Linked DNA regions of Nothobranchius furzeri. The protein of the gene in region 1 purifies or fractionates together with the protein of each later gene. This does not show direct contact. Links are inferred from orthologs where the notes say so. Each region holds a gene or a part of one and is shown in the gene's direction. Other genes may lie near its edges.

What was found.
Region 2: the proteins of acbd6 (region 1) and nmt1a purify together in Homo sapiens (co-immunoprecipitation; 3 studies listed by BioGRID and IntAct, with this or other methods). This does not show direct contact. The link is inferred for Nothobranchius furzeri from reciprocal best matches to the Homo sapiens genes ACBD6 and NMT1.

What each region holds. Positions count from the first base shown.
Region 1 is NC_091748.1:57,392,760-57,403,910, reverse strand, and holds the start of acbd6 (acyl-CoA-binding domain-containing protein 6), read left to right. Parts: upstream 1-5,161; 5' UTR 5,162-5,375; coding exon 5,376-5,654; intron 5,655-5,850; coding exon 5,851-5,915; intron 5,916-6,347; coding exon 6,348-6,444; intron 6,445-11,151. Other genes in the region: xpr1a (xenotropic and polytropic retrovirus receptor 1a), read right to left, coding at 692-760. UniProt on the Homo sapiens protein: Binds long-chain acyl-coenzyme A molecules with a strong preference for unsaturated C18:1-CoA, lower affinity for unsaturated C20:4-CoA, and very weak affinity for saturated C16:0-CoA. Does not bind fatty acids. Plays a role in protein N-myristoylation.
Region 2 is NC_091745.1:11,795,479-11,806,086, reverse strand, and holds the end of nmt1a (glycylpeptide N-tetradecanoyltransferase 1), read left to right. Parts: intron 1-3,487; coding exon 3,488-3,579; intron 3,580-3,701; coding exon 3,702-3,818; intron 3,819-4,550; coding exon 4,551-4,721; intron 4,722-4,786; coding exon 4,787-4,895; intron 4,896-4,974; coding exon 4,975-5,145; intron 5,146-5,219; coding exon 5,220-5,384; intron 5,385-5,469; coding exon 5,470-5,607; intron 5,608-6,715; coding exon 6,716-6,736; 3' UTR 6,737-6,969; downstream 6,970-10,608. Other genes in the region: retsat.2 (all-trans-retinol 13,14-reductase), read left to right, coding at 9,045-9,204, 9,500-9,682, 9,882-10,123.

The sequences.
Region 1 (11,151 bases):
TTATTGAGGTTTTTTTTTTATCTAAATTCAGTAACACATTTTAATTAGTGTCTGGGGGAATCACCTTGTAAAAAGATAAAAATAGTAAATTAAAGGGGTTATCTAAATACGGCATATGACCACATTGTTGGGAATTGTAAACCGTTGCAAATGGTGAAGCCAGAATGGAGGGAATAAAAATCCTGCAACAGAAAAGAAAAACATCTTTGCAAAAAAAAAAAAAAAAAAAAAGAAAGAAAGAACGAGAGAAAGAAAAAGCTATTATTTAAAATATATTAATATTGGCATTTGTTTGGTACAAAATGGAAAAAGAAAGAACTATCTTGATTGTTTGATGACATTCTTACTATAAATGATCCAATTTACCCTAATGACAGCAGTTCAGCTGTTGGGTAAACTGTTCATCTAGTTAAATTTTGAGGATTGTAAATTCTGCAAACGACAATAAACAATAAAAGGTCCCTTTGGCTCTTAACAACCGCAGTCAATTCGCCATTCATAAACAATGGGGTATCCTCTACCTTCACTCCTTTATTACTCTCAAGAGAAAGACATAACTAAACGCATAAAGCCTGTTTGAGGAAGCTTATGTTAATGTTCTTTTTGTTTCATCAAACATCTCAGATAAGTTAAATGCTCTTTTATACATCTAGTATTATTTAAATAGCCTACATAATAAACTGGACTTTACCTCATACTGGAGATATTGTTTCCTCCACTCTGGGGTGATGTGGGACGCAAGATGCTCCGCGAATTTCATTTTTGCTGAAACAAGAGTTCCTGTAAAAGCTGTTGAATCCTGGAGCGCGTCCCCGTCGACGCGACTTTTGTTCGGTCAGACAACTTGCAGCCTCAACGTGCGCTGCTGCGGAAGCTCCGGGCTCCGGCTCCGCTCCCTCTCACTCCCACTCCGCTTCAGGCTCGTCCCGCTCTGTGCGCTCCGAGCAGATCCCGTCCCGCATATTATTTCCACGTGAGGGTCAACAGCGACTGCTCCTGAACAGGTGGTCGGACGGCTCAGCTTGAGAGTGGCTCAGTGACTCTGCTCGGTCCCTCCCTGGGCTGTGTCCTGGGGACATTGCGGGCGGCCATGCGGTGGACTACAGTGACGTGTTTGCGTCAGCAGAGCGCGCAGTGGCACCGGACCCGGCTGGGACCTCCTGATGCCTGCTGACTGGGCATCCGGACAGCCGCACCATCATTTATCTACTTCTGCTTCCATCTAGAGCCTCTGCACTGATGTTGCTGTCTGGAAATAAGACCAGACACAGTTCTCTGATAAAAGTTAGTACCTTATCCTTCTGGTGTCTAAAGCAGATTTTGAAAACTCCCCGCCCAAAGTGATTGTTTTGACTGAGTTCACCTGGATTAAAAACTTAAACCCCATTTGTTTAGTACAGCTCGTAATATCCAGACAACCCAGTCGAATAAAAAAAAATAATTCAAACTGTAACTTCAACAAACACCCTTTCATGCGCAATAATGTCTCTGCAGCTTTTTCAGAAGATGTTTTTATGATCCTTGCACATAAACTCTAGTCAAATGACAAACTTATGATTTCTTTTTCTTTACCAAATGCACGTTTCTAAATCAAAACACGTGTGTGCCCAAGCGGACACCCGAAAAGCTACATATATTTTTTATTTCAAGTTCAATGTGTATTTTCCTGCCCACAAAAGAGTACAAATACTAAGAAAGATTTATTCTGACTGATGTCCCAACTCAGGCATTAGGAGCCTATAGTGAAAAGTAGGATAAATCTTTTTTATTAAAAACATAAACTTTCACATTTTTTGTAAATAATATTGATATTTTTATAGACCAAGTATTTTTTCTGCAACTGTTAATAAATACTAAGAAAGATTTATTCTGACTGATGTCCCAGCTTAGGCATTAGGAGCCTATACATGCGAGTGAAAAGTAGGATAAATCTTTTTTATTAAAAACATAAACTTTCACATTTTTGTAAATAATATTGATATTTTTTATAGACCAAGTATTTTTTCTGCAACTGTTAATAGTTGTAAACAAAGCAGCGCGATGTTTTATCTGTAAATGGGATGACAAATTGTTTGTTTGACAAACGCTTGTGTTTTCAGATTGAAGAACAACTTTTAGGGAAAAAAACAAATAAGCAAACATTAAAATTAAAAATACGATAAAAAGATATTAGTCTGAGGTAAATGCCGTGCAAAAGAACGGTATTGGTTGATACTATACTATGGTTGAAGCATTTTATTTTTCCACAAGTCAACATTTCTGTGATTATTGCAGTCACAAATCCGTACGCCAAAAGCACCCTCTGCTGGACTAAATAAGCCATTGCATTTACGGTTAAAGTCTCGAAAAAGTGAAGAAAATAAATGCAATGTGTACATCATCTATCTGTATTACATCTAAATGTTACCTTGAAGACTGACTATATTGTTGAGAAATGACTAAATGTGTCTTGCTGTGAGAATAAACTGTTTTGAGCTCTGATTTAATTCATCTTCTTTATTCCTTTACAAATGATTACAACTTTCCATTTTAGTTAGTTGATCTGCAACCCAAGCATTTTTCTAATAAAATTAGTTTTGAAAACAAGTAGATTTTATGATTGCTTAATTTATTCAAATAGCTGTATAGCTTCATAGTGTTTCTGACGAGTTTAAACTGACGCAATTTATTTCTACAGCATGTGTAAGTCATTTTTAATAAGTAAAGTATTGCTTGTTTATTATGACTAAAATATAGAAAATTAATTGTCTGTTCAGTTTCCAGCTCGTGATTTCCGACCTGTGGACAAGGCCTGGACAAAAGTACAGCCGGTGTTGTGCCAGTAAAGGTATTCCAGTTGGGCGTGACATCCAAAGGCAACTTTGTTAACAAATAGTGAACAGATGGAAGAAACTCCTGGCGTTTTGATCCTTGATAAACATTTATTTTAATATATTTAGTCTAATTATGTTTTTGTACCCTTGGACCATAATAGTGTGGATTTTACGATGTGATACAATATTTCCTGGGCTGGACAAATAAAAGTTTCCAATCTCAAATCTTTGATTAAAAAAAATATATTGAACAAGTGTAATGTTGAGTAAATGCACAGTAGTATAATACAGTAACAAAGATATTAATGAAAAAATAAACAGATGAAACTAAAATTATTAGCCCCATGAGCAATTATGGAATATTTCCCTAAACTTATTCCTAATGTTTACAACATTGATGAAACTTGATACAATCAAACATTTGTGAGTGTTGTTTGGAAGCCTTTGGTACATTTTGTAATGTAAAATAACATTTTATGCCTGCTTTATATCAAATATAGTGAAAAATAGGGTTTTCAGAAATATCAGCATGAGAATGTTTGCTTTCACACCAACAGTTATTAACCAATCAGCTTTGAAACTGTGCAGTCAACTGGCTTCCTAACAACATTCAGTCACTATAAAAAGACTCCAAGGAACAGGGCAATTGAGCACATGACAGGGACTACAACGCCTACAAAGACAAAAGAAATCAGTCTGGAGCACAGAAAGAAAATGGCCTGTGAAAAGGTCGAGGACTACCTTGCCCTTTCCAATTATTTACAGTCTAGGAGTCGAACTATTGTACATTGCATCAAGATCAAGTACAAGGAGACAAATTCTGTAAGAAACAAACTCTGAACGTGGCTGTAAGAGCAAGATTTCAAGAACTTTGGAGAGAGAGGTAGTTAGGGATATCAGCAAGGAGCCTCGGACATCTGCCATGATGATTGGTGCTGACCTGGCCTCTTCTGGCGTCGGCGTTTCAAGGAACACAGTTGTGAGGGCTCGTCATCATAGGGCCAGCAGAACCCCTTTACCCTACGAGCTACACATCAGAGCCTGACTGAAATGTGCCCGTTTGAAAGATTAATATTAGTTTTGGAAGTCTGTCCTTTGGTCTGATGAGTCTAAAGTGGAACTGTTTGGGCAAATGGATGTTGCGTTTGGCAAAGAAAAAGCGAGAGAGTCCTTCAACCATCACAGTTCCCACAGGTAAGCGCAGTGGTGGGAGCATATACTGAGGGGTTGTTTTGCAGGTTTAGGCACAGGGAGCCTTGTTTGGTGTCATGAAACAAGTGTCGTGAAAAAAATCTGAGGAAGAACATGCAGAAATCTGCTTGTAGTCTAGGCTTAGGTCATTGCTGGCTGCTCCAACAAGACAATGACCCAAATAATACATGAATATCCAACAGTTAAGGACATCAAAACCAAGATCCTGACCCACACAGAGCCCTGACCTCAATTCTACTGAGAATCTGTGGTGGGTGCGCAAAGTGAATAAAAGCTTGGAAACCATGTGATTTGAGCCAGCTACAACAAATTGTAAAGGAAGAATGGACCAAAATCTTTATGGAGAGCTGTGCCAACCTAGAAAAGAACTACTCTAAGAGATTGTTGTCAGTTGTGGCTAGAAAGGGGGAACTATTGATAGCCAGGGGCCTAATAATTTTGGATGTCTCATTTCTGCTGTTGCTTGTTTCAACTTTGTGTATCAATAACATTTCCTAATTAAATTTATTGTTTATGTGTATGTACACAAATGTAATGGTGGAGAAGTGCAATGTAAGTAAATAAAAAACAGAGTCCCAATCAAAAGTTTAGGACCACTTGAAAATGGCCAAGAAACATATTTGGCATGGTTGGATCCTAACGAGTTTCCAAGTAGAGATTCATCAACAAGAAAAAATTAAAGAGACAAAGCATTTTTGAGCATGTAATTTATTGAAAACAATGCTTAAACTAAAACAGGCTGTTTTACAGCTGATCAAAAAGTCACACCCCAGCAGACGTAATAATCACAACTCCACACAGAATTTGTTTCCCCTTTAACTGTGTCAAAAAAAATTTAAACAAACCTTCCTCATGAAAGAGCATCAACAGATGTGTGAATGCACATTTTGTATGTGCCATACATGTAAACAGCGTGCTTGATTTTAAGTTATTTTCAGTACATTTCTAGTCAAAATGTTTTGTCTCACTCCCATTTCTTCTTGTTGCAAATTGAAGCTCTGCTTGGAACCTGGTTGGTTTAATATCCAACCATACAAAATATGAATTTAGCCATTTTTCAAGTTGACCTGGATTTGACCTGAAATACGTCACACATCATGGGTGCGTTTATTTGCACAGCTCCGGAACCTTTCTTCTTGGCTAGAGATTGCGCCGACCTCTTTTGATGAAAGGACTAAACACGGACTTACCGTAGAAATGAGTCTGGCATCGATAACGGATTAAAAGCGTTATTAGCAATAATAATAATACTTTTACAAATAAATATCTGACAGCTTCTCTGCGGCTGCTTTCCACTCGGGGATTTCTGGTGGTTGTGGTTTATAGGACAGCGCGTTGTGAACAATAACAATGGCCTCTGGTTCACCCTCGTCCTCCCCGGACACTGCGACGGGCTCGGGTACGGATCCAGCGCGGCCCGATACCGGCGAGCCTCTTGGTGGAGCGGGTTCAGACTCGGACTCGGACTTGGGTTTGAGTAAATTTGATTGTAGTGCCGTGGAGATGACGGAGGAAATGGAGGGAGAGGAACTGGAGCAGGAGTTTGAGTCTGCAGCTGACCGAGTGAGAGACTTGATTCAGACGGCCAGCAGGGACCAGCTGCTGTACCTGTATGCTCGTTTTAAACAGGTGAGTGTCACATTTTCAACACCAGTTTTAACCATACGAGTGTGTCCGTCTGGCGTAGTTAGTGACCCCTAGTGGCTTCAGATGAAACTACAGCCACATACTCTGAAGGAGTGTTTGTTCCAAACATGTTTATAACAGTGATCCAGGTTCAGATGGGACAGCAACCAGATTAATTATGTGTGTGTTTTGTTTTCAGGTCAAAGTAGGGAAGTGCAACACCCCAAAACCTGGTTTCTTTGATTTTGAAGGGCAGAGAAAATGGTATGTTGTTTAAACTCGCTGGCCTCGTTGAAATATAGGAATTAGTTTCTAGTTTATGTATTTTTTAAATTAAATTAGTAGCATGTGCATACAAAAGGGAAAATAATTCCCTCACATGTGAAAATGAAGAGAGTATTTAGTCATATTTTAGCCTGTTGTCTTTTAAAGGACTTATACCCACAAATGTACCCAGATACTTTTACCTGAAATGCAATCATAAAACGGTGTAACAAGTAAAAGTCTTTCTTAAAATGTACCATTATATTCAGATTTTCTTTGGCAGGACCTTTACTTTTCCAATCATTGGTTTTATTGTATTGTGAAAGTTTCCTGACCTTTTAATGGACCTTTTAAGAAAATCTCGGTCCAGATGAAGCCTCACACCCTTGACTGTTGAACAGGATTGTGATGGAGTTTGTGATTTCACCACAGGCTAGCCTGGAAGCAGCTTGGAGACATGGACGCTGAGCAAGCGATGCGAGAGTACATTACCTGTGTCAATGTGTTAGACCCAGAAGGCACCACAAAGGTAGAACCAGAGCTGCTCATTCAAACGTTTTTCTGAAATTTGTTTTAAAAAAGAAATAAATTCCAAATAGTTCAAATCCTCAAAGATATTTGAGAAGTAAAATGTTTTAAGAATAGAACCAAGAGGTTTGATGACCTTTTTAGTATTTTCCTTAAGCCTACCTGATTTAACAATGTGAGGATAATTATTTTAATTAAATCACTTTGTCTGAAACACATGCTGTTCTATTATTGATCTTATGAACCATTGATAAATAAATAATTCTCTCTTTGTAATTTAATCTAATTTAAATTTGGGTTTGCTGTATCACTTCATTACCCTCTGCTGAAGTAGATGGATGTTTAACAGAGATGGGGCCACTAGATGTCAGTGTTACATAGTTGACACCCACATCACCTCGCTTCTCCTCCAGCTTCACTGGCTGCCAGTCAACTTCAGGGTTCGTTTCAAGATCCTGGTTCTGGTCTATAGGGCCTTACATGGACAAGCACCATCTTACATTGGTGATCTTCTTAGTCCCTACACCCCCAGCAGGTCCCTGAGGTCCAGTGATCAAAGCCTACTGGTTGTGCAGCACCAGGCTAAAGACCAAAGGTGACAGATCATTTGCTGCTGTGGCCCCCAGACTCTGGAACTCTCTCCCCCTGAGTCTGAGATCAGTGGACTCAGTGAACTCCTTTAAAAAGCAGCTGAAGACTCACTTGTTCAAGCTCGATTTTGTATGACCTTCTTCACCACTCTCTCTTTATTCTGCTCTCCCCACCTATTCCACCTTCCTCAGGATCCACTGATTTCCCTCTTTCCTATTCACTCTCTCTCTTTCTTAACATTTTTTCTTTTAAGTCCCAATTGCCTATTTTTGCTCATTTTAAATATATTTTAAACATTTTCTAAATGCTTTTTTATATTTTAATATTTTTTTTGTTTTTGTGAAGCGCCTCGTGATTTTTATCTTGAGAGGCGCTATAGAAATTATATTTTCTTCTTCTTCTTGATTTCTTACATTCTTTACGGTCTCAACTTTGAGGTAAATACATCCTAAAAATACCCCCCCAAAATAAATATGCCAAATAAATAAACATACATATATATGGCCCACTTGGGCCAGCTCCTCCGGGGGAATCCTAAGGCGTTCCTTGGCCAGCTGAGAGACAGAGTCCCTCCAGCATGTCCTGGGTCTCCCTTTAGGTCTCCTCCCGATTGGACGTGCCCAGAAAACCTCACCAGGGAGGCGTCCAGGAGGCATCCTAACTAGATGCCACAGCCACCTCAACTGGCTCCTCTTGATATGGAGCAGCAGCGGGTCTACTCCGAGCCCCTCCTGTGGCCCTTTTTCTCATCTCTGGGGATTTCAACCATGCTTCTCCGTCATCTGTTCTGCCCACATTTACGCAGTATGTTACCTGTCCCACCAGAGACAATAAAATACTGGACTTGTTTTATGCCAACACCAACGAAGCATATTCGGCACAGGCAGGCTGTGGCCCCACGTATAGTGAGGAGGTGGACTGATGAGTGTGAGGAGGCTCTCAGGGACTGCTTCAGCACCACGGTGTGGACAGAACTCTGTGATCCACATGGGGAGGACATCAACGCCATCACAGATTGCATCACAAACTACATAAACTTCTGTTTTGAGAACACTGTTCCCTCCAGGACGGTGCGGTGCTTCGCGAACACCAAACCATGGATCACCCCGACGTCAAAACTCTCTTAAAGGAGAAAAAGAGAGCCTTCAAATCTGGGGACAAGGAGGAGCTGAGAACCGTTCAGAAGGAGCTGAGGAGGAAGATCAGGGAGGGGAAGGCCAACTACAATAGGAAAATGGAGGAGCAGCTACAGGAACAAAACATCAGTGGGGTGTGGAGGGTGTGGAGAAGCCTAAAAACCATCTCTGGCTTCAAAACACCCCACTCACAGGGGGAAGGGGGACCTGAAGTGGGCCAACAACCTAAACCTGTATTTCAATAGGTTTGACCAAGCACCCACCCCTACCCCCACACAGCTGCATTCAAATAACTCCACACCTGGACGGCCCCCTACAGCTACAGCCCTTCACACCTCTGGCTCCTCCATTCAGACCTCCATTCAGACCATCATGCACCCCCCAGCAGGACTCGGCCCCCTCTCCAGTACAGAGCTGCACTGCCCACCCCTCTCCTTTACAGCAGGCCAGGTGAGGAGAGAGCTGATGAAGATCAAAGCAAAAAAAAAAGCTGCTGGTCCTGACAACATTAGCTCTAGGCTCCTTAAATCCTGCGCAGATGAACTGAGTGGAGTTATGGAGCATGTCTTCAACCTGAGCCTCAAGCTGAGGGTGGTACCACAGCTCTGGAAGACCTCCTGTGTGGTTCTAGTGCCAAAGACACCAAAAGCTAATGAGCTCAGTAGCTACCGGCCAGTGGCTCTCACATCCCACCTGATGAAGACACTGGAGAGACGGATCCTGGGACACCTCCGGTCTACTGTGGGACCTTCGATGGATCCACTGCAGTTTGCTTACCAACCAGGGGTTGGAGTAGAAGATGCATTCACTTGTCTACTACATCGTGCTCTGGCCCACCTAGAGAAACCTGGCAGCACTGTGAGAATCATGTTCTTTGATTTTTCCAGTGCTTTTAACACCATCCAGCCAGGGATTCTAAAAACTAAACTGGAGAGGGCTTGGCTGGACCCTTACCTGGCAGAGTGGATCCTGAGCTATCTCACAAACCAGCCCCAATTTGTGAGAGCCCGGGACTGTGTGTCTGACCCGCTGACCTGCAGTGTGGGTGTGCCCCAGGGCACTGTCCTGGCTCCATTTCTCTTCACCCTCTGCACCTCTGACTTCAGACACAACATGGACAGCTGTGTCCTGCAGAAGTTCTCAGACAACCCTGCGATTGTCAGACTGATCATCGAGGACGACGATGTGGAGTACAGAGGACTAACGCAGGACTTTGTCGATTGGTGCCAGTAAAACCACCTCCTGATAAAGCAGGGAAAACAAAGGAGGTGGTGGTGGATCCTCACAGACGCCGACCAGCTGTCCCCTCACCAGTGAACATCCAGGGAACAGACATCAAGAGAGTGGACTCCTATAAATACCTGGGTGTTCACCTGAACAACGAACTGGACTGGTCTCAAAACACAGATGCACTGTATAGGAAGGGCCAGAGCAGGCTCCACCTCCTGAGGAGACTACGGCCTTTTGGGGTGAGGGGGACACACCTGAAGACCTTCTACGACTCTGTGGTGGCATCAGCAATCCTGTGTGGTGTGGTGTGTTGGAGCAGCAGCATCACAGAGAGGGAGAGAAAGAAGCTGGACAGGCTGACAAAGAAGTCCAGCTCTGTCCTTGGCTGTCCTCTGGATTCTGTACGAGAGGTGGGGGACAAGAGGGTGCTGGCAAAACTCAGATCCATCCTGGACCATGAGTCACACCCCCTGCAGGATGCCTTGTCTGCTCTGGAGAGCAGCTTCAGTAACAGACTGATCCACCCTCGCTGTACGAAGGAGAGATACCACAGATCTTTCCTCCCTGCTGCTGTTAGACTATAATAGTCACTGCTAACAGAAGCCATACATCTGTAACCTTCCACTGCAAATATAATCTTTTCAAAACGCGTGCAATATAACTACTACTCTCATTACCATGTGCAATAATTATCTTAACTTATTATGTACTCTTGTGCGATATCTTGTGTGCTACTGCTGCTATCCTGCAGTACCTGAGCCATTGCAATATTGCAATTTCCCCACTGAGGGACTAATAAAGGTATTCTTATTCTTATGACCAAGCTTCACACCCTCTCTCTAAGAGAAAGCCCACCTACCCTGCGGAGAAAACTCATTTTGGCTGCTTGTATCTAATTTTATTGGTCACTACCCAAAGCTCGTGACCATAGGTGAGGTTTTCTGACTCAAGACCATGGTCTCAGATTTAGAGGAGCTGATTGTCATTCCAGCTGCTTCACACTCGGCTGCGAACCGCTCAAGCGAGATCCGGGATTGGTGCATCTCTAATTAAAATCATTTTCTGGATCTCTGACACAAAACCTCATGTTGTGTTTGTGTTGTTAAATGTAGTCACTCCTAACCAGCAAAGGTCTTGAAGCTGACGGAACACTCAAACACATTTCTTTACCCGGAGTTTGACTTCCGAGTCATTTTTAAAGTTGGATGTTACGTGAGGGGGCATAAAAATATTTTCTATATAAAAAATTTAAACCGGTCACTGATGTGTTTTAATGGAATGTGATATAAACAGGTAACACAATCAAAAAAACTGATGGCTGCGGAGGAGAAAAAAGATAATCTTTACATGTCCATTTTTTTATTTATTAAACTGGGGAAAAACAACTTTGGGATTTTCTACAGATTCTGCAAACTAAAGCCAGCAACTCACTGGCTTGTGACTGTTTGTGACAGATTACAGACAAAATTCATCAACGTTTTCATTTTCCTCTCATGAGCCACAGATTTACGCTCTTATGCAGCTGGAATTTCAAGAGTTTGTTCAGATATATTGTGCCACAAGTTTAACAGTCTCAGAGTCGCTGTTGGTTGGTAGAAAGTGTGAAATATGTGAGACAACTTTGGGAAAGCTTTGTGACCAAATTGTGAATCAAAGAAAGGTAAACTGCAAATAAATGGAGTCGTAATTAGGACCTGTTGTGGCTAAACTGCAGCATGAAAAATTATTAAAACTCAAGAAAACCACAAAAT
Region 2 (10,608 bases), on another chromosome or scaffold:
GGGGCCAATTGTAAGTTTCCGTCCTCTTTGAATATTCTCTAAAGAGTAGCAACATGGGGGCCTCACAACAACTCTCACATGAGCTGAAAACAAAGCCCTTTTTATAAGACACACCATGCTGGCAAATTGGCGTAATATTACCGCAGTGGTATGTGTATAAACGCGCCATGCCGGCATGGCGTTGCGCGAATTTTGCGGCATTCGTTCCGCCTCGCTTGGTAGTAATATTGCGGTAATGGTCTGTCGTATGCGCCCTGGCGCAACAGAGGCAGATGTCATGATGATGTGGGGAGTTATTGCTGAGCTCCGGGTTGGCAAATTTATGGAAAATGAAAGTAAACACAGGCGGTAAGGCTTGCTTTTTGAACAAAATCAGCTGAGATGGCAAACTGGAGCGCCGCAGCGCTGCATGAGCCTCTCTGTTAGAGCTGAAGCTCAAATCACCAGAGACTGCACAGGGACTGATGGGGACAGACACCTTTAGGAGCTGCTTGTTAAAAAAATGTAACGATCATGGCTTCATTCGCAATAAAAAGCAAGTTATGTCCAAGATAAACGGAAGTCTGCGGCAGCGCAGAGACCACCCCTATACCCGCTTTATGCCGCCATCACCTAATCTTTTATAAAATTGCCACGATTGCGCCACATTACTGCCACGGGCTGATCTTATAAATGATCATTATCCTCCCCAGGGAGCCGCGGCAAATCCCGTTTTGCAAACGCTCTGGTCCTGTAAAAACAGCTCATGATTGTTCACCGTCATGGTTTAGGGGAAGGATACAGAAAGCTGTCTCTAGCCCTTTTCAGATTGACATTCTGGAATATGTGTGGACAATTCAGTCTGGTTTTTAACCAGAACTGTGTTTTCAGACACACCACTTTTGTATCTGAACTTGTCCCTTCGGCTGCCTTCACACAGCAGGGAAAAGTTTCAGATGTCAGACCAGATATTGCGTAAACATAGTGCGCCGGGCGTACATGCATCATTTACCCAACCAAAGCTATTTAGTCAAACATGGCCGACGAAGAGATAGAATTCCTCTCACTGATCGGACTTATATTAAGCATAATTATGTGCACACAAAGACGCATAAGAGACCTGGATGATGAAACTCAATGGTTAAAGGAATCACGGAAGCGGTTTGAAGCGCTCCGTCGCGCGTCTAGGAGACTGTACCGTAGGAGCGCATAGGAGGCGAGCTGCCATGGTTCGCCGCATGCTACAGGAGCGAACAATCTAGGTGCGCACAGCGTCCCCCGGTCCCCTCCTCTCCCTCCTCCCTGTCCGGAACTCGACCTCACCAGTCTGAAGCAGCCACCCTGTCCATGGCGAGTCCGGTTCTGTTACTAGGGGCTTCGTCCAGTTTAATCACGGAAAAGGTTATCCGGATGTTTGTATTCAGACACAAAGGTCTTAAGGACAGAGTCCCGAACATTTCCATTTTCCATGGCCTGTCTGAAGGGGGCTTCAGAGATTTCAGCTGTCTGTTTCCACAGTTAGGAACATATTGAGGAAATAGAAGACCACAGGTACAGTTCAAGTTAAGGCTCCAAGTGGCAGAGCAAGAACAATCTCAGATAAACAGAAGTGAAGAATGGTGAGAATAGTCCGAGCCAACCCACAGACCAAAGACATACAACATCATCTTGCTGCGGATGGAGTCGATATGCATCATTCAACTATTCAGTGCACTTTACACAAGGAGATGCTGTATGTGAGAGTGATGCAGAGGAAGCCTTTTCTCTGCCCACAGCACCAACAGAGGTTTGCTAAAGCACATTTGGACAAGCCAGCTTCATTCTGGAATAAGAAAATGGTCCAGAATACCTTCAGCCTCTCTGTCTGTCTGTCTGTCTGTCTGTCTGTCTGTGTGTGTGTGTGTGTGTGTGTGTGTGTGTGTGTGTGTGTGTGTGTGTGTGTGTGTGTGTGTGTGTGTGTGTGTGTGTGTGTGTGTGTGTGTGTGTGTGTGTGTGTGTGTGTGTGTGTGTGTGTGTGTGTGTGTGTGTGTGTGTGTGTGTGTGTGTGTGTGTGTGTGTGTGTGTGTGTGTGTGTGTGTGTGTGTGTGTGTGTGTGTGTGTGTGTGTGTGTGTGTGTGTGTGTGTGTGTGTGTGTGTGTGTGTGTGTGTGTGTCTGCTCTGTCTTCTCGATCCCCAGTGAGTCGTGGTAGATGGCTGCTTATACTGAGCCAGAATTCTCTGGAGGTTTCTTCCTGTTAAAAGGGAGTTTTCCTCTTCACTGTCGCTTTATGCTTGTTTAGTATGAGGATTGCTGTAAAGTCACTGACACTAGTCAGTGACTTGATGCAATTTGCTGGGTTCCTTATATAGGAAACATTATTTCTGATTGGCTTAATGAAATGACCTGAATTTGAATGTTTATCATGTGAAGTGCCTTGAGATGACTCTTGTCGTGATTTGGCGCTATATAAATAAACTTGAATTGAATTGAATTGGAAGCTATAGGAAGTGTGTAGCTTATGCACCTGCCTAATTTTGTTTAAAAGATTATTGCACACTTTCTGTAAATCCTATAAACTTTGTTTCACTTGTCAAACACCACTGTGTGTGTCTCCTATATGACATATTCAACTGAGATTTTTTAAATTGTAATAACCAACAATTAATACAGGAAATCATGAAGATTAACGAGGCTACTGTGTGTGCGTGCGCGTGTGTGTGTGTGCACGCGCGCGAGTGATTGAGAATATATGATTTGGGAGTCTTGTGACTTCACTGACCTATCGGAATCAAGGATTCGACCATAACTGTAGACATGGTAAATGCTTTAGTCAAACCACTTGGAAATTCAAAATAATGTGTAACTCACCATTCAGAGCCTCATATCACTGACAGAATAGAGCCTTCTCCAACAACAATGGTCTTACTTTCACAATCCAACATAATAGATTGCAGAAACCATTAAAAAATTTCCTCAGATGCTCATAATCCCTGTTAGCATCCAATGTTAGCTTCTTCCCGGACCAGCAGGTGTAGGGCTACCCACTCTCTGCTGAGGCAAATTCATCAGCTATTGGCTGATAGGTTAGAAGTACTAACCCTCTGGTCTGGTGTGTAGCGTCAACGAACTATGGCTCAGTTTATGATTTATTGAAGCATCAACTAGCCAGTGAAATTTAGATAGAAGCAACGTCTCATTTGAAGACCTTGCAGCTTGCTTCTGCAAAGGGAGTAAAAACATTAGTGAATGGTGGAGCGCTCTATGCAGTGTGCCGGCCCACAGAACCTCTTAACATCTCCTGTGCCAAAATCACACGTCATCATTTATTTGGGACTGTCGAATATCGCTTGAAAATGACCCAACCTTAGTGTGTATCGGTGCATGTTTTGTTTTTAATTCATGAATGAAAAATGTATAACTACTAATGACAGATGTTGGAAAGATGAATTATTTTTGTGTAATTGTTTATTTTCATAACATTTAAAACTTACTGGTGCTTTATTTCTGCTTTTATCGGTTTAAAACCAGCTCAAGGAGCTTTACACTCTTCTCAATGAAAACTATGTGGAAGATGACGACAACATGTTCAGATTTGACTACTCTCCTGACTTCTTGCTCTGGTACAAATGAAACACTTTCAGCTTTACACTTGCAGCAAATGTTAAAGTAACTGAATATTTTTAAATGTATGTAGTTACTCATTACACTGCTTAACTGGTCTTCAAATCCGTTTCCTGCTCAGGGCCCTGCGGCCTCCAGGCTGGTTGCCTCAGTGGCATTGTGGAGTAAGAGTGAACTCCAACCAGAAGCTGGTCGGGTTTATCAGCGCTATTCCAGCCAACATCCACATCTACGACATGTAAGGAAACTCTGTAGCGTTGAGTAGACCGTTCAGGTTGTGTCTCAGTTACCTGAAAAGTGTGGAACGCTGAAAACTCATTTTTAAATCTTATTTCTGATAATAGGTCACAGTTTTTTATGCAGGCTGAACATGAAAATAATCTCCTACACCTATCTCCTGCATTAGCTTCTGATAGAAAATTGATGATGAAACTCTAGGATTTGGAAAATCCTGACAGATCTACGTCACACTGTCACTGAACATTCATGGACTCACCCATCTTGACTCACAACGAGGAAGGCTGTTGTTGGTTTAGCGTCCAGGAAACGGCAGAGAAGATCTCAGCTAGTAGAAGCTAACCGTTAGTTTTAGCATCTCCGCCACACAGCAGAACTTTGTCAGGCTTGAGTTGTTTGTGGAGATTAAACCTCAACGTTGCAGAGCAGAGTCAGTGGTAGTCACATTGCTGTTATCCAATCAGAGGTGAGATGTCCAGAAAAAAATCCTAAACCTGCCGTCTGACGCTCAGCTCTGATGCGGCTCACTTCTAGTTCCTGAATATGGTGCGCCAGAGCTCCCCCACCACCTTCCAAGTCATTCATTCCTACTCGAGACCTCTGCAAACGTATTTGTTTAATGAGTGATCCACACCTTGAAGTAGTCATGGAAGTTCTTCATAAATGTCAGTGAATATTTCACAGCATACAAGTCTGACGTAACCGTTTTCTTTTTAATGTTTGTTTTTCTTAGAGAAAAGAAAATGGTTGAGATCAACTTCCTCTGTGTCCACAAGAAGCTTCGCGCCAAGCGAGTGGCTCCAGTTCTGATCAGAGAGATCACTAGAAGGGTCAACCTGCAGGGTATCTTCCAGGCGGTGTACACTGCAGGAGTGGTGCTGCCCAAACCGGTGGGCACGTGCAGGTTTGTCTGGCAAATAAACCTTAGTTTTCATCTTTTACAGCTTTAATGATCATTAACTTCCACAGGTACTGGCATCGCTCTTTGAACCCAAGAAAACTAATTGAAGTGAAATTCTCCCACCTGAGCAGAAACATGACTATGCAGCGCACCATGAAGTTGTACCGCTTGCCAGAGGTGTGTGCAGAGAGACACAAATCTACACATGCTCCCCATTATACTTTGAACCTCCTGTTCACTGTATTTTCTCCTCCAGGCACCAAAGACTTCTGGTCTGCGACCGATGACCAAGAAGGACATCCCGGTGGTGCATCGCCTCCTCCGTGAGTACCTGAGCCAATTCAACCTGGTGCCTGTCATGAACCAAGAGGAAGTGGAACACTGGTTCCTCCCTCGGGAGAACATCATCGACACATACCTGGTGGAGGTAAAGTGTTTTAATTCAATATTCTTACAGATAAAAGAGCTTATTTTTTCATTTTTGATGTTTTCTCCATGCAGGCCGAGGGCAAAGTGACGGACTTCCTGAGTTTCTACACACTGCCATCTACTATAATGAATCACCCTGTGCACCGCAGCCTAAAAGCAGCGTATTCCTTCTACAATGTGCACACCACCACTCCCCTGATTGACTTGATGTCCGACGCCCTCATCCTTGCCAAATCGGTTTGTTTACATCTTATTAAAACCCAGATCTGCAGCTCAAGTTATAACGTGCATCAAACCAATGTGTTTTTCTTTGCCCGTATAGAAAGGCTTTGATGTATTTAATGCACTGGATCTAATGGAAAACAAGACTTTCTTGGAGAAGCTGAAGTTTGGGATTGGAGATGGCAATCTGCAGTATTATCTGTACAATTGGAAGTGTCCCAGCATGGGGCCAGAAAAGGTAATTTTTCTGGGATTACTTATTTGTTTAGTGGAACGAAAATAATAACAGCTACATTTTTATTTTTCTCCTTCTTGTGCTTTTTGTTGATGCTGAAAAATCTTAATTCCTAACCTAAACTAGTCAGCAGAGGATTGCAGAGTGTTGTCCATTGTGAAGTTGGTAAAGTTTCTACCTCAACAATCACTGGAACCCACTTGGAAAGCAATAGCTTAAAGAGTTCAAATCTCTTTGGTGTTGCTTTAAATGCTGAGTGATGCTGGTTAGTGATTATTAGGAATGTAAGAAAATATCGATATAGCAATATATCACAATATTTTTTCCTGTGATATGATATCGATGTTCAAAAGCTGTGTATCGATTTTTTTGGAAGAACTCACGTGTAAACATTTGTGTATTTTCTTTACTTTTGGTGCAAATCAAATGTCGTCCGCTAGTCAGCAGTAGTGTGCAATGGAGTTTGTTTCCACCACTGAAATGTAAATCCCTCTATTATGGTTCAGATACCTCATGTTAATCATGTCAAGTATCAGTTTGGACCACTTATTGAATTTTCCTACAATAATTTTAGTCTTAAAAATCGCTAATATTGCCTGACTGAATGTATCGCAATATATCGTGAAATATCGTATCGTCTCCCCTGTATCATGATAAGTATCGTATCACCAGAATTTCGCCAATACACATCCCTAGTGATTATAAAGTGTAAGTTTCATCTGAGCATTTAACGTAGTCCCACTTTAGTGGGAGCAGCTTTACCAAACAGGTGACAGGATGTTTCAAATGGATCTGGTGCTTTTCTTTTGGAAAAACAAAAAACACGTCGCTGACACAAAAATGCATTAACATGATTAAAAGTTGTCATTTCATCCCACAGATTTAAGCTAAAACCATCTTGTGATGAGAAGTGATGGAGGTATTTATAATTGTTTGGTCGAATCTTGAAAACAATCAGGGCTGCTTAAGACAATCTCACAAGATGCATGACCTGTGGTGCATCTGTAAAGGACTCACAGCTGCTAAATTACCACTTGGTGGACCCCAAACCCATCTTAGGTTAAACCTACAGTCTTGTCTAAAGAGCTGTGGCCTTCTGTTTTCTCCTCAGGTCGGGCTGGTTCTGCAGTGACATCTCCTTACAACGTCGGGAAAGTGTCGCCAACAGGCCTGAAGACCACACCACAGACTGATGATTTCCAGCTTTTGGAGAGGAAATCCACCACTCATTTTTACTTTTTGACCCTTTGAACTTTGACCTGCACAACTGCTGCCAGGCTGAGGGTTTGGGGAGCTCTTCTCCCTCCCTCCCTCCCTCCCATCCTCCCTCCATCACATGGACCTTAAGCCATCTTAGTGACCATTGCAAGCAACTGTATTTCATCTAAAAGCTGTTTTCCATTTGTACCAAACACACCAGAACAGTTGGCACAGATTACTGGTCACCAGAACACTCACTGTTGGCAAACCTACAAAACCTGCAGTACCTGTAAATAATATCAGACGTATCTGCGAAGAACGCCCTAGCTCCTGCAGAGCAGAACCTACTGTTTTATTCTACTCCTAATCATTGGAAGTGCTTTTTGCAATTAAACTAAATCTGTTCTTAAGTTTTAGACGTAACAAAATCAACATGAGCAGGAATATTCTAAAGAGAGAGAGAGGATGTAATAAATACCAAAAGTGGACATAAGATAAGGGCTTCTGTTAAGAGTTCTTTTTTCAACTTTGTATTTTATTTAATTTTGCTCCTCACCATCTGTTGGCATTCATGAAGGTGTCTCGGCACTGCTTGAAGTTATTACCAGAGTTGGCATGCATCCTCTGGAGCTTCATATTAACACTCATGGGCGTCCTTATCCAGCCCATCGTACCGACAAAAGAAATCCAGAAGCAAGGACAAATCAATCTCCGCTGATCACAGTTGAGCTGATACAGCTGATTCATTTATCAACGGGAATGAGGTTTACGCCAACACCTTTGGATTTAAGTGAGGCCCATTTGTGACTTCCACTGTTAAATACCACAAACCTGTTTTATTTTTCCAAAATATCTGCAAGGTTTCAGGTGGCAATCAGAAATCCAAAGTACTTCAGGGCACTTTTAAAGTTTTTTTTAAAGCTTAATAGATAACTAAAACCTCTGGCGGGAAATCTAAAAAAAATATTTAAAAGGTATTTGGTAAAAATGGAAATGACCAAATTATAAACAAGTTTGAGTGTACATGCAGCATCATGCTGAGCTCTAGCTGTATATATTGAGCTGGTTTGATCACGTCACCTGTTCAATTGGAATTAAATCAGATGTGACGACACACCAGAGTTTGTAGGCTACCAAGCATAGTTCAGCAGATCTTGCATACTGACTATGCAGTTGCTTTCAGAGGGGGGTGAGGTTTTATGGTCAGAATCTGGAGCTGGGCCTGTGAAATCGGTCTGGACTGGCAACACGTGCAGGGTGGATGGTGATGAGTGGGGAAGCACTCCTGTTGGGGTTTCTCGTGTAAAACGTGTGCTAAAGGATGTTTAAAAAAGGTGAGTCTTGCGGTGTTGTGATGCAGGAAATGAATGAGAAGATGGAGGTGATATTTTTTTTTCTTTTAAGCAAAATAAAATAAAATCTAGCAGTTGCTGTGAAGTTATTTGTAGTTTGTTATTTAAGAGAGCGTTAATTAAAGGTGAAATGTAGAAGTTGCAAACCACTTTTCACTGATCTGTTTGCATGACAACAGAGTTGCATGTTTCTGATTTTTAGTTTGAGGCTTTTGTTTTGGCAGTGGCCAAGGTTTAAGGTTACCGTTTATATTGGCTCCGGATCCAAAAATACGGCCTAAACTTGCAACCCTAAATATTTCATGTTGGTCAATATAAGCACAGCCTAAAAGTTCAACAATGGCAGAATGAAAACAGTGAGGAAAATATTATTTTAGGATTCTTTGCCCCATGTCAGTTCTATTTGATTCCATCTTAGTGACTCCCTAACTTTGGGAACCGCTCGAGTTTTGTTTTAATAAGGTTTTCATGACCAAAACGAAAACGTTTATTTTTTTAATCAAGCTATGCTAAATAGAACTGAAAACTTTTTAAAAGTCAAACCAAGTGATGTAATACTCTGTAGCGCTCATTTTGTTTAAAAACACTCGAAGGTGTTTATTTTCTAGGGCGAGTTTCCTTTTATAAAGGCTGTTCGACATGCCCACTCGTTTACTAGATAGGGCGCTGGTTCACGAGAACTGATCAGGAAGTAGTGAACGGACAAGCAGCGGGGAAGCGACTTTCTCTTTACAGTTGTTGATTGGTCCAAATAAATCGCGTCACATAAAGCTACGGCTGTGGTTGGCTGAACGAGCATAGGTGGTATTTTGTCTAGCCCATGAGGAAATGAACCCACAGTAGCTGGAGCTGTCATCCCGGTTACAGCTCCTTCAGAAAGGGGATAAAATGTTTGCGGTAGTAGCCATTATTTTAATATTTTTAGTGGTATTTGTTTTAAAACATGTCTTCGGCAGCTCCGGACCAAATCCCTTCGAGAAGGACTGTCGTGAACCGTTAAAAAAGATGGTTTTCGACAAAAAAGAGAGAAATAAAGTGCTGAAGCAAGGTGCGTGACGTTTAGCTGCGTAAATGTGTGTAGGATATGTGAACGACAGTGAGCTGTTTAAAAGTTCGGCTGCGCAGACCTAATCCTAGCAGTAAACATGTTTCCTATCTTTTGGACTTAAACAATTAGAAATAAAACGTTTGGTATAAATGGATCTTGATTTAATCAGAGAATTGGAATAAAAATACTGTCATGTGAAAAATAATCCAAATATATGTAACGCAATGAAAAAAAAATAGTATCTTTATAGGTGAAGTTTTCTTGTTTTAACTTTGTTTTACCTGATTTAATTTAGGTTTCCTGGCCTCCAAAGTACCAGAAAATCTTGATGCAATCATCATTGGGAGTGGCATTGGTGGCCTTGGACTGGCTGTGTTTCTGGCTAAAGTTGGAAAGAAAGTTCTGGTTCTGGAGCAGCATAGTCGGGCCGGGGGATGCTGCCACACGTTCACAGAGAAAGGCTTTGAATTTGATGTTGGTGAGAAGACGCATAACTGATTTCTTTTAAAGTTCAAAGCTGATGATGATTTTTCTAGTAAGACAGGTTTTTGTAAACAAACGCAGACAGGATGCAAGTTTATGTCCTGTATTGAAATTCTCCTTTTTTTATCACCCAGAAGTTGATAAGAACACAAAAGTCAGTCCTGACTAACAGTTGCTGTGCTGTTCAACCACAGGGATCCACTACGTCGGTGAGCTGTTAGACCACAAGCCTTTTCGCTGCGTGTTGGACCAGATGACCAATGGGCAGCTGCAGTGGGCACCTCTGGAGAACCCATTTGACCACATTGTTCTGGGACCTCCAGAAAACCGCCGCTGCTACCCCATTTACAGTGGCAAGACCCGCTTCCCCGAGGAGCTGAAGAAGTGTTTCCCAGGCGAGGAGAAGGCCATCGATGAGTACTTGAGATTGGTCAAGGTAGGATCCTTCAGCTCACTCGCACATGTTCTGGACAGTCGCTAGGGTCGCAGGTGGCTGGTGTCTGTCTCCACCGTATGAGAAGCAGAGGACTCTCTGGACAGGTCTCCGGTCCATCCAGGACTAAATGGAGTCACACAACTGTTCGCACACGGGTCGTCTGCTTGGAAAACCAGGGAAAAGTGTGGTGCAGCTGTACAGTGGACAGGTAGAGAGAATTGCTAAAGCTATTGTTAGGGATACGGGACACCCACTGCATGCCCAGTTTACTCTCCTGCCATCTGGACGGAGATTTATTGTGCCAAGGTGCAGGACCAAGAGGTATAAAATGAGCTTTATTCCCGAGGCAGTAACGTTAATGAGAATTGAGTCTGGTGTGGCTATTTTATATTATTTTTATTCACTTATTGTTTATAATTTTTATTGATGTGTGTGTTTTGTGACTGTGTGTGTAACCTGGGCTATTAATAAAGTTACCTTGACCT